Coturnix japonica: one gene and its partner. The protein of the gene in region 2 purifies or fractionates together with the protein of the main gene of each other region. This does not show direct contact. Links are inferred from orthologs where the notes say so. Each region holds a gene or a part of one and is shown on either strand. Other genes may lie near its edges.

Evidence for each region.
Region 1: the proteins of STRN (region 2) and CCT4 purify together in Homo sapiens (affinity purification with mass spectrometry; 3 studies listed by BioGRID and IntAct, with this or other methods). This does not show direct contact. The link is inferred for Coturnix japonica from reciprocal best matches to the Homo sapiens genes STRN and CCT4.

What each region holds. Positions count from the first base shown.
Region 1 is NC_029518.1:13,361,131-13,365,785, reverse strand, and holds the start of CCT4 (T-complex protein 1 subunit delta), read right to left. Parts: upstream 3,169-4,655; 5' UTR 3,024-3,168; coding exon 2,906-3,023; intron 2,549-2,905; coding exon 2,496-2,548; intron 2,226-2,495; coding exon 2,136-2,225; intron 1,584-2,135; coding exon 1,475-1,583; intron 1,350-1,474; coding exon 1,207-1,349; intron 885-1,206; coding exon 763-884; intron 622-762; coding exon 489-621; intron 159-488; coding exon 19-158; intron 1-18. UniProt on the Homo sapiens protein: Component of the chaperonin-containing T-complex (TRiC), a molecular chaperone complex that assists the folding of actin, tubulin and other proteins upon ATP hydrolysis.
Region 2 is NC_029518.1:28,841,731-28,846,219, reverse strand, and holds the start of STRN (striatin), read right to left. Parts: upstream 3,142-4,489; 5' UTR 3,053-3,141; coding exon 2,768-3,052; intron 1-2,767. UniProt on the Homo sapiens protein: Calmodulin-binding scaffolding protein which is the center of the striatin-interacting phosphatase and kinase (STRIPAK) complexes.

The sequences.
Region 1 (4,655 bases), about 15 Mb from region 2:
AAACCAGCACTGACGTACCGCAGAATAGACTTCTGGATCAGCAGCACGTTGCATCCAGCCTTCTTAATTTGCTTCACTAAGTTTAGAATATAAGCTCTCTCCTCACGCAGTACTCTGTCCATTTGAGCGTAATCAGAAACAACAATTTGGTTGTCCATCTATTGAAAAAGAAACAAGTATCATGAACGAGTGCTCATTTTATAAGCATTGGGATGCTATATATTCTTTGATTTAATAGCCTGTGATTTAAAGTACGTACAAACAGATTACAGCCAAATGTACTATTAGAATTTGTTTCTATGAGAGATACTGGAGTTCTGAACTGTTTTCTCATGCCAGCTACAAATTGTTTAAGAGTTATGAGTAATGGGGGTTCATTACTAGCAGGCCTTCATTACAGCTGTGGAATAGAGCTGCCATTACCACATCTTAAACAAGATCCGTATTTTGCTGTTACATTTACGTTTTCTCACTTGAGTTAAACTTACATCTGTCTTTGGAGCAGAGAGGCAGAACTGAATTAGGCCAATTTTGGCCTTTTCCACTCTAGTTACACCTGTGTTGGCCACCTTCTGAGTCAGGACCAGCCCTTCCACCAGCTCACAGTCGTCAATTGTTCCTCTGCAAACAAAAACAATCCGTGGCTATTAGTGCCTTGGGAAGCAATTCCACAATGACACAGGCCTATAATTAAGATAATTAATTTAGATTTAAATAAGAATATCTAAATAATTTAGATAATTAAATAAGATTGTTTCTTACCCCAACTTCTTCACTATTTTAATATCTCTGAGGTCCACGCTGTTAGCCATAGATGGGTCAATCACCTTCATCACTGCATCCACGCTCATGGGAGAAAGTAAGCTGGAATACTGACACACAACCTAAAGGATTTAATGAGGGAAGGGAGAAAAATACATCAGCAATGCATGATTTAACACTGATCAAAAACAGCCAGCAGTTTCTCAAGGTTCTTATTCTGTTTTAGTTTGACTTTATAATCTTGGAAAAAAAACCAACAATTCCCCTCTCTGTCCATCAGGCAGGTGCATCAACGTGGTTATCTTCTTAATAAGAGGAAAGAAGAGCCCCACTGGTGGGAAGAAATAAGCTCAGGGACTTTGGAAAACGAATTTGACTTTATTTCTTTGACTCTTAAAATAAAACCATTGAGAGCTTTGCAGATTGTTCACGTATCAGCCATACCTTTGAGTTCAGTGATGTAGTTGCACTGTTCAGCAGGGTTTCTCTGTCGCTCAGTTCCACTGGCTGTGCCATGTTGGTCAATACCTCAATACCTTTCTCCAAAGCTTTCTGGAATGACTCTGAAATGATGGTGGGGTGAATTCCTGTGAATAACATAGAAGGTTGTTAGGTCACCCTTGCAAACCAGCGGTCTTTCCTCCTCTCTCCAAACCAGTCTTATATATGAAATATGTATTATATGTTATATATATAAAATAAATATGCTTGCCTTTCTGAAGGAGTCTGGAACAGGCATCCAGAAGAGCTCCGGCAATGACAACAACAGATGTAGTACCATCCCCAGCTTCAATATCTTGTGCTTTTGACAGCTCTACCAACTAAATGGACGAGAGTTTAAATGTAATGTGACTTCACTGAAAACTCTGACAGTTAGAAATAAAAAAGATATGACAGAACACAGCACTACCAGAATTACCCACAGTACCAGGGCTTATCTTTTCTAACTTGCAGCTTCTCATACGTGTATGCATATTTGGCTGGAGCAATAACAGAAGCCTCCAACAAAATAAAAGCTGTATCCTAGGATCACCAGATCATCATGTCATTTGTTTTCTTCTTTGACTCTCCTTTGTCCTACTGGTTCAGGACATCACCAACTTTTCTTTCTCAGATAAGAAAAGCTTTGGGTCAAAAACCTTTTATATCTTCAACCGTATCCAGAAAAGATTATTCCTAAGCAGTAAGAAATAAGGACCTGGAATCCTTTAACGCATCTCACAATCAATGTCAATAGACCTGAAGCACTCAGCAGAAAGGCTGTTGCTCTATCACAGACGACACCCACGTGAGACATTACAATCTGTGTTCACTTGTCCCAGAAATGAACCTCTACCGTGTACCGTTGTGCAAGTGATGTTACAAGTATTTACCATTTTGGCTGCGGGGTGTAAAACCTGCATCTGTTTCAGGATAGTAGCACCATCATTAGTGATTGTCACGTCTCCTTTAGCATCCTGAATCTGAGAAGGAGAAACAGCACTGGTTGGCAGCTAGTAATGTTTATCGTGATTCAGCGTCAGACAGCTTGACAAATAACCTTGTGAGGAAAACTGAGATAAGAATTTAAGCTACATTTTACTACAAAGAAATAACATTTGATCATAAAAACAAAGGAGTGCTTTCCAAGCTTGGAAAAGCAGCTTAAGACAAAGGAGCACATTGGTGAGTTACACAGGGCATGACAGTCTCTTCAGCAATCTCAGTTTTTGTATTTCCATTAAAAGCCTTACCATTTTATCCATTCCCTTTGGTCCGAGGCTCGTTCTAATGGCATCAGCGACAGCTGGAAAGAGAAGAACGCCATTTACAAGATGATCTACAGAGCTACAACCACTCATACACCATCCTCAACAGCGTCTCCCACTACAAAGGCACCCTCCTCATTTTACCAGCACCGAGTCACACTCAAGAACAGAACAGCAATAATACAATAATACAACGGGGCCATTTTTGCAGCTTGCCCCTGAAGCTGGCCGAGCCTTCCCGCTTTAAGGCGGCAGGAGCGAGCAGAGCGTACAGCGGCCTGTAAGTACATCAGCCTATCAGTACATCGGTCTATCAGCACAGCGGTCTATCAGCACAGCGGCCTATTAACACAGCGGCCTACCATCAGGCAGCGCCGATGCCCCGCGGCCCTCACCTTTGCCGGCGGAGATGTTGCTGAAGCGGATCTGGGAGGGCTTGTCCCGGTCCTGGTACGTGCCCTTGGCCCGATTCCCGGCCCCGCCGTGCGCTTTGTGTCCCGTGTTCTCCGGCATGGCCGCTCGCCGCCGACACACCCCCGGTCCGAGCGGATGGGGACGGATTCGCCCCGCTCAGCTCACGGAGCCGCGAAGCTTCCAGAACACGCCGCCACAGCCCCGCAGCGACACCGGGTCCTCACAGCCGGCGCCAGGCGGCACGTCACGCATAGAGCTGTCTGCGCAGCGCCTGAGAGCTGGGAGCCAAGAATTCCCTTCGTGCAGGCGAGCTGCGCGGACACCTAAAGGAACAGGCCGCGCGGGGTCCTGCAGCACTTCCCGCGCTGTGGTGTTACCTCAGGGCTGTGGAGGAAGCACAGTGTAAAGCTGTTGCTGTCACAGTCACCTTGTTTTACCTCACTGTGTTTGGTCAAAACAAAAGCCTCTCTAATATCGAAGGTAGCTTAGGGCTGAGGCTTGCTGCTTGCTCCGTTGTGCTTAGAGCCAGCATGCACTTCCAGTCTTCTTGTTTGAGAACTAGATTTAGGCCGGGAGGTGCCGGCACGTTATCTTGTTCTTCTTACCCTCTTACCATCGTTTCTGACTGTTCTGCCCTCCAGAATTTGCAGGGAGCAGTGAGAAGAATCGTACTGTTCTCATAGACTGATTTAGCAGTCTGGGTTTTCCCGGCCAGCAGCCCCCTTCTTGATCTTTAGATGTCCATGGTTCTCCTCTACCCCATCAGACTGGCAGATCTCTTCCTGGTCATAATGCTACAAAAAGAGTAAAGAACAGATGAGCTGCTGCAAAGCAGTACAGGACAGGGACTGTCCCTACTGATAATCCTCATCACTTCCACTTACTGATCTAAAAACAGGTGAGCACCTCAGTACGAAACAAAGAGTTGTGTGATCAGCAACACAAGCATCTAGAAACTGAAGTTGCAGCTGAACTTATTCACACCGAGGTCCTTCCTTTCCTTCATCAACACTCTGGAGGGTTTTGTTAACTCTGGGGAGGTTACGGTGGAGAAAAGAAGCTGCTGGAGGCTGAATCGTGGCAGAATGTTGGGGTAAATGCTGCTGAGCCTTTGAAGAATTGCCGTTTGGTTAAGGGGTTTAGGACCACAAGTGCAAGCTCCGTTTCTTCACTAAGGTGTTTCCATGTGGAATAGTACCGAGGGTGATTCCATCCTCTCCCTGTAGGTGGCAGCAGAGCACCAGTCTTGCTCTGAGGGGTTATTCCCTGAATACATTGTTTCCAAAAAAACTGCTATTTATCGTCTTGCTTGATTATGTCTTAAAGAGGTTGAAATTACTCTTGATATGCTGCCCTGCTTCAGAACAAACTACGTACTTTGGATTGCTGATAAAAAGTACCAGGAGTTGAAACGTTGTTTTCTTTTATGAATGTTTGTTTCCATGGACATGAAGCATGTTCCCACCTGTGATAAATATCTCTATTTCATACATGAAGCGTGAACCAGATCCTTCTTGGAAAGCAAGATTCTGAGCCCTCAGAAATGACATCTGTTGCGCTGAAGACGACGTGGTCTCTCAATTCCCTTGCAGCCCACAAAGCTGTGAGGTGTCTGAGCCTTGAGGAGAATGACTTTTCTTCTGAGTGGAGGCCTTTTCAGGGATCATCTCTCTTTTTCCAGAGTTTCTTCTATGTAAATGACTCCATGAGACTCAGGGACTGATTTTGAAA
Region 2 (4,489 bases):
ACCGAAAGAAAAAGAAATTGGAGCTGAAGCACTTTGCAGAACAGGAAACCCTTTCTTGTCAACTCTCCCAAGCAGCTGCTATAGAACGTGGGAAAAAGAAAGTCACTGCTTTCTGAAAAGATACGACAATAAACGACAGTGCTAAGTACGTGGTTTGTTAACACTAGGAGGATAATTCATCCAGTCAGTACTCAGTGAATTACCACTACAAGGCACCACGAAAGCTTATTCTTGGGATAGTTCTTCAATCTGCAGATGTCGAAGTACCGTAAACACGAAGCAAGAGTTAATAATGAAATCCATAATTAGCAGATAAGCATAGAGGGAAGCCCTGTGCGACTGCTTTCAGTCTGCCTCAAAACATGCAGCTTGCTGATGGTACTCACGGAGATATAAATATTGAAGGCCTCTGAATGGGGAAGATTATATAACAGAGGCAAGAACCATTTTTAAAGATTAAAGAAAAATAATTAGAAAATCAGAGTAAACACAGATATTTGCCAGGGAAAGCAAATGATAAGTAGAATAGGCAAACAGGCAGAAAAAAAAAACTTTGTTAAAGCAGCAACTAGGCCAGCAAGTATGAACAGAACCAGTTTCCCAGCATATCAACTCGTTTGTTTTTAACTGCAGCAAGGGTGGGGGGCACCTGAGCAGGCAGCCTGCAGCACAACAGGAAGGTGTGCTGAGCATCACGTGGAGTTCCACACAAGTAACTGCAAAGGGAGGGGGAAAAAAAAGAGAAAAGGAAAAGAAGCCCAGAGGGGAAGAAAAGGAAGGCAGGAAATCGCAGTAGGATTGACTTACAAGGTGTTTTTTTCAGAAAGAGTATAGCTTAACTAACCGTCGAGCACAGAGCAGCAGCCAAGCAGAGCAACATCTGAGGGACTTAAGTATCACAGTGGTAAGGAACCAGAGATCATAAGTCTGCCTTTGAGGAGCAAGATGCACTACACATAAAATGTATGGCACACAGAGAATGCCGTACAAAGCAGGATCTCTGCCACATGGCCTCCCAAGAGAGCAGACAGCCTAGCATTTAATTTACACTGGCCAGAAGACCTTGGAGTACAATCAGAGCACTGCATCTTTATCTCGAGAGACAGAAACTGCATGACCTCTGACTGCCATTATTCTGTTAAACAATCCACAGCATCCAGGCCCATGAAGGGCTTCAAGAGGAACGTGGAATCTGCCTTTAATTAATGCTGCTCATTGTGGGGCTGTGCATGTACCATTGCTCAGAGCCCCCTCGCTGCTGCCGAAGCCACAACACAAACCTCTCATACGGATCAAAGAGCATTCGGCTGAGAACGGTCGTGGCAGACGTCACACACCCAATGTCTGCAGGGACAGTCAAGAATTTTGCACCTTCCTGAACATGACTCTGCAGTAGATAAATGCTGTTGCAGCTTGTGGCGATGCCAGTCACAGCTAATTATAGCTTTATTGAGACATTTTGGCAAGAGTCGAAGGAGTTCCAGCAAACAGCTTGTATTGGGGTTGTGCTCCTGCCCTGCCACTGACAGCGCATGACTTTGGCACATCACGCATGTGCTTGGCCCCTTCTCATGCTAGCTCAGCTCTGACACCCACTGCTCCCCAGAGGGACACTGGGGAGGTGGGATGCAGGAATGGCCTCTGGGGGGACACTGAGGGCACATACAGCTCTGCTGCTGCTGGGCATCGGCAGAATCGCTTTGGTCCCAAGGAACTTGTTTTCCTCCAGAGCACCCTGTGAGATTCCTATCAGCAATGAAAAAATACCCAGTGGAGTCTCATAAATACCTTAGGGTGCGACGAGCAACGTTGTTATTATGTGCAGTTGAACTAGTTACTTTCTACATCATATTTACCGGATGTTGTGAGCAACATATAGAATCACAGAATAATAAGGTTGGAAAAGACCACTAAGATCATCTAGTCCAACCATCAACCCACCGCCACTGTGCCCGCTAACCATGTTACGAGCAAATCTTTCACCAAATCACTGAAGCTAAAACACAAACCGCATCTCTCCTGTGCTTATGGCCACTTCCTTTGCACTCCTACACGGGGAGCAGCCACCACTCCCCTCCACGAGGGTTTGCCTGATGTTGTCATTGGAAGTACGGCTAAGGAACCGACTTTCCTCCTCACTTGAAACGAAAACGAAGAAAAATGAAACAATAACAACGAAAGAGATAAGCGGTTCTTGCCGTTAAACAGACTTTAGACTCTCGACAAAGACGATACTTTCAAGGAAAGGAACAGAAAGAACAGAACTGCCAGGAAGGAAGAGGAAGGGAATGAGACCCAAGAGGAAGCGCTCCCTGCCCCGAGCACGGCGCTGGGAAGGACCCACAAGGGGCTCCCGGCGCTGCGGGCGGTTAAGATTTACAACCGAGATTTGCTCGTGAACAAAGCCGAAGCAGCACCGCGGTGCAGGCCGCGCCGCCCTCTGTTATTACCCTCTGTTATTAGCGTTAATACGAGGCGCGCATCCCGGAGCGCCCGACCGCGGTGGCTGCGGGCCAGCACTTCACAAGTTCCCTAAACCACAAGATCGCTATCGGAGCTCTCGCAACGCGCCCCTCAGCCCCGGCGTCGCGGAGCCGACTCCTCCCGCCCACGGCCCACCCGGCCGCCCCCCGCAGGCCGCCGCCATGTCACGCCCCTCCGGGCGGCGGCGAAGAACCGGGGCCGGGGGGAGGCGCTCCACCCCCCACCCCCCGCGGGCCGGGGGCGCACTGGGGAGCGGGGAGGGGGGCCGGGGTGGCGGCGTTACCTGCAGCTCCGCCCGCTCCGCCTCCCACTCGGCGCGCTCCGCCTCGAAGCGGCCCCACTCGTGCTGCAGGAAATGCAGGATGCCCGGCACGCTGTACTGAGCCCGCGACGCCGACACCGGCGCGGCGACTCCGCCGGAGGAGACCCCCGCGCCGCCGCCTCCCGCCGCGGCCGCCGCCGCCTCGCCCGGCTCCAGCCCCGGCCCGCCCGTCGGCGGCGGCAGCAGGAGCGCGTTGTTGTTGTTGTTGTTGCTGAAAAAAACGCCGGGCCCCGCTTGCTCGTCCATGGCCGGGCCGCGTCTGCCGCGCCGTGCAGCGCCGCCCACACCGACACCGGCCGCCGCCGCCGCGCCCAGCCGCGTCCCGGCAGCGGCACAACCTGGGCGCGTCCCGCCCGCCGCCGTCACCGCCTGACAGCCGCCCCCGCCGGCTGCTACCGCGGCCCGCAGGGGACAAGGCAGAGCGAGCTTCGCGCCGCCAACCGCACGGCACTACGGGAAACGTAGTTTAGTGGGGCGGCGGCACGCGGGGCGGGCGGAGAGAGGACGGCAGGGAGCGGGGCTGCTGCTCCGCCCTGCTGCCACAGCGGGGCCGAGGCCGCGGGCAGAGGCTCCTCCCCGCGCACTGACACTCGGGGATCGGGGTGAGCGCACACAGAGTCACAGAATGACCCGGGTTGGAAGCGACCTCAAGGATCATGTAGTTCCAACCCCCCTGCCTGGCAGGGCCACCAAACATACACCTTTACTAGATCAGGTTGCCCAGGGCCCTTTGATTCAAAAGATCTGCACCTCACAGCCTGGCTTCAGTGGTTTCGGCACGCTTGCAGCCCACTTTAGGGACGTAACGAGGGCTGCTTCCTGCAGCAGCTCCACAACCCCCCATCAAATCCTACCATTTCAGTTCCTTGCTGGTGAATTCCTTGCTGTTTTGGCAATGTTCTGAGCACGGGACCTTACACTTAGAGAATCATTAAGGTTGGGAAAGACCTCTAAGACTATCTAGTCCAACCATCAACCTACCCCTGCCATTCCCACTAACTGTGTTCCTCAGTGCCACACCCACACAGCTCTGCCAGAGCACTGAAAGCTACCAGTCCATCCCAGCAGCACTTCAGCTTCCCTTCCCTACCGCTCAGAACACTGACAAGGAGAGCACAACAGCATTTCTTGGAAATGACCACTTCTGAAAGGATAAACTAGACTTCCTGAGGCTGATGCTGACACCACAGGCTGGGGGGTCACAAACCATTAGGCACACAGAGATGATAGTTTGCTCTGCTCCAGTAGCACAAGAGCTTTCTAAAGAGACACACACCACTACCACACCCTACATTAGCACCACCATCTCCACGTGAGAAGTGATGCAGGAGGAGAGCGGTGAGGCCAAGACATGCTGTGGGCCATGCTCAGCCTGCGGCCCAGAGAAGCAGGTCCCACACAACCCTGCTTGCTCAAGCAGCGCTTCCTGTTTCTTTCTGGCTGTTCTGAACTCACACTTGTTGCTCTGTTAACCACCCTGAGGAAATGTGACTGCGCTGGGTGGGTAACCTCTCTAAACAGGGGAGCAATAAACATGGAAACTGGCAGAAAGGATCAGGGAGCAGAGGAGAACAAGAACCCACCAACAGGGAATGCTCATCGGGAGAAACTTTATGAAGAAACAGGGCAGAACATCACTGCTCACCAAGAAAGGAAGGAAACAGTGGTGAGAGAGGAAAGAAG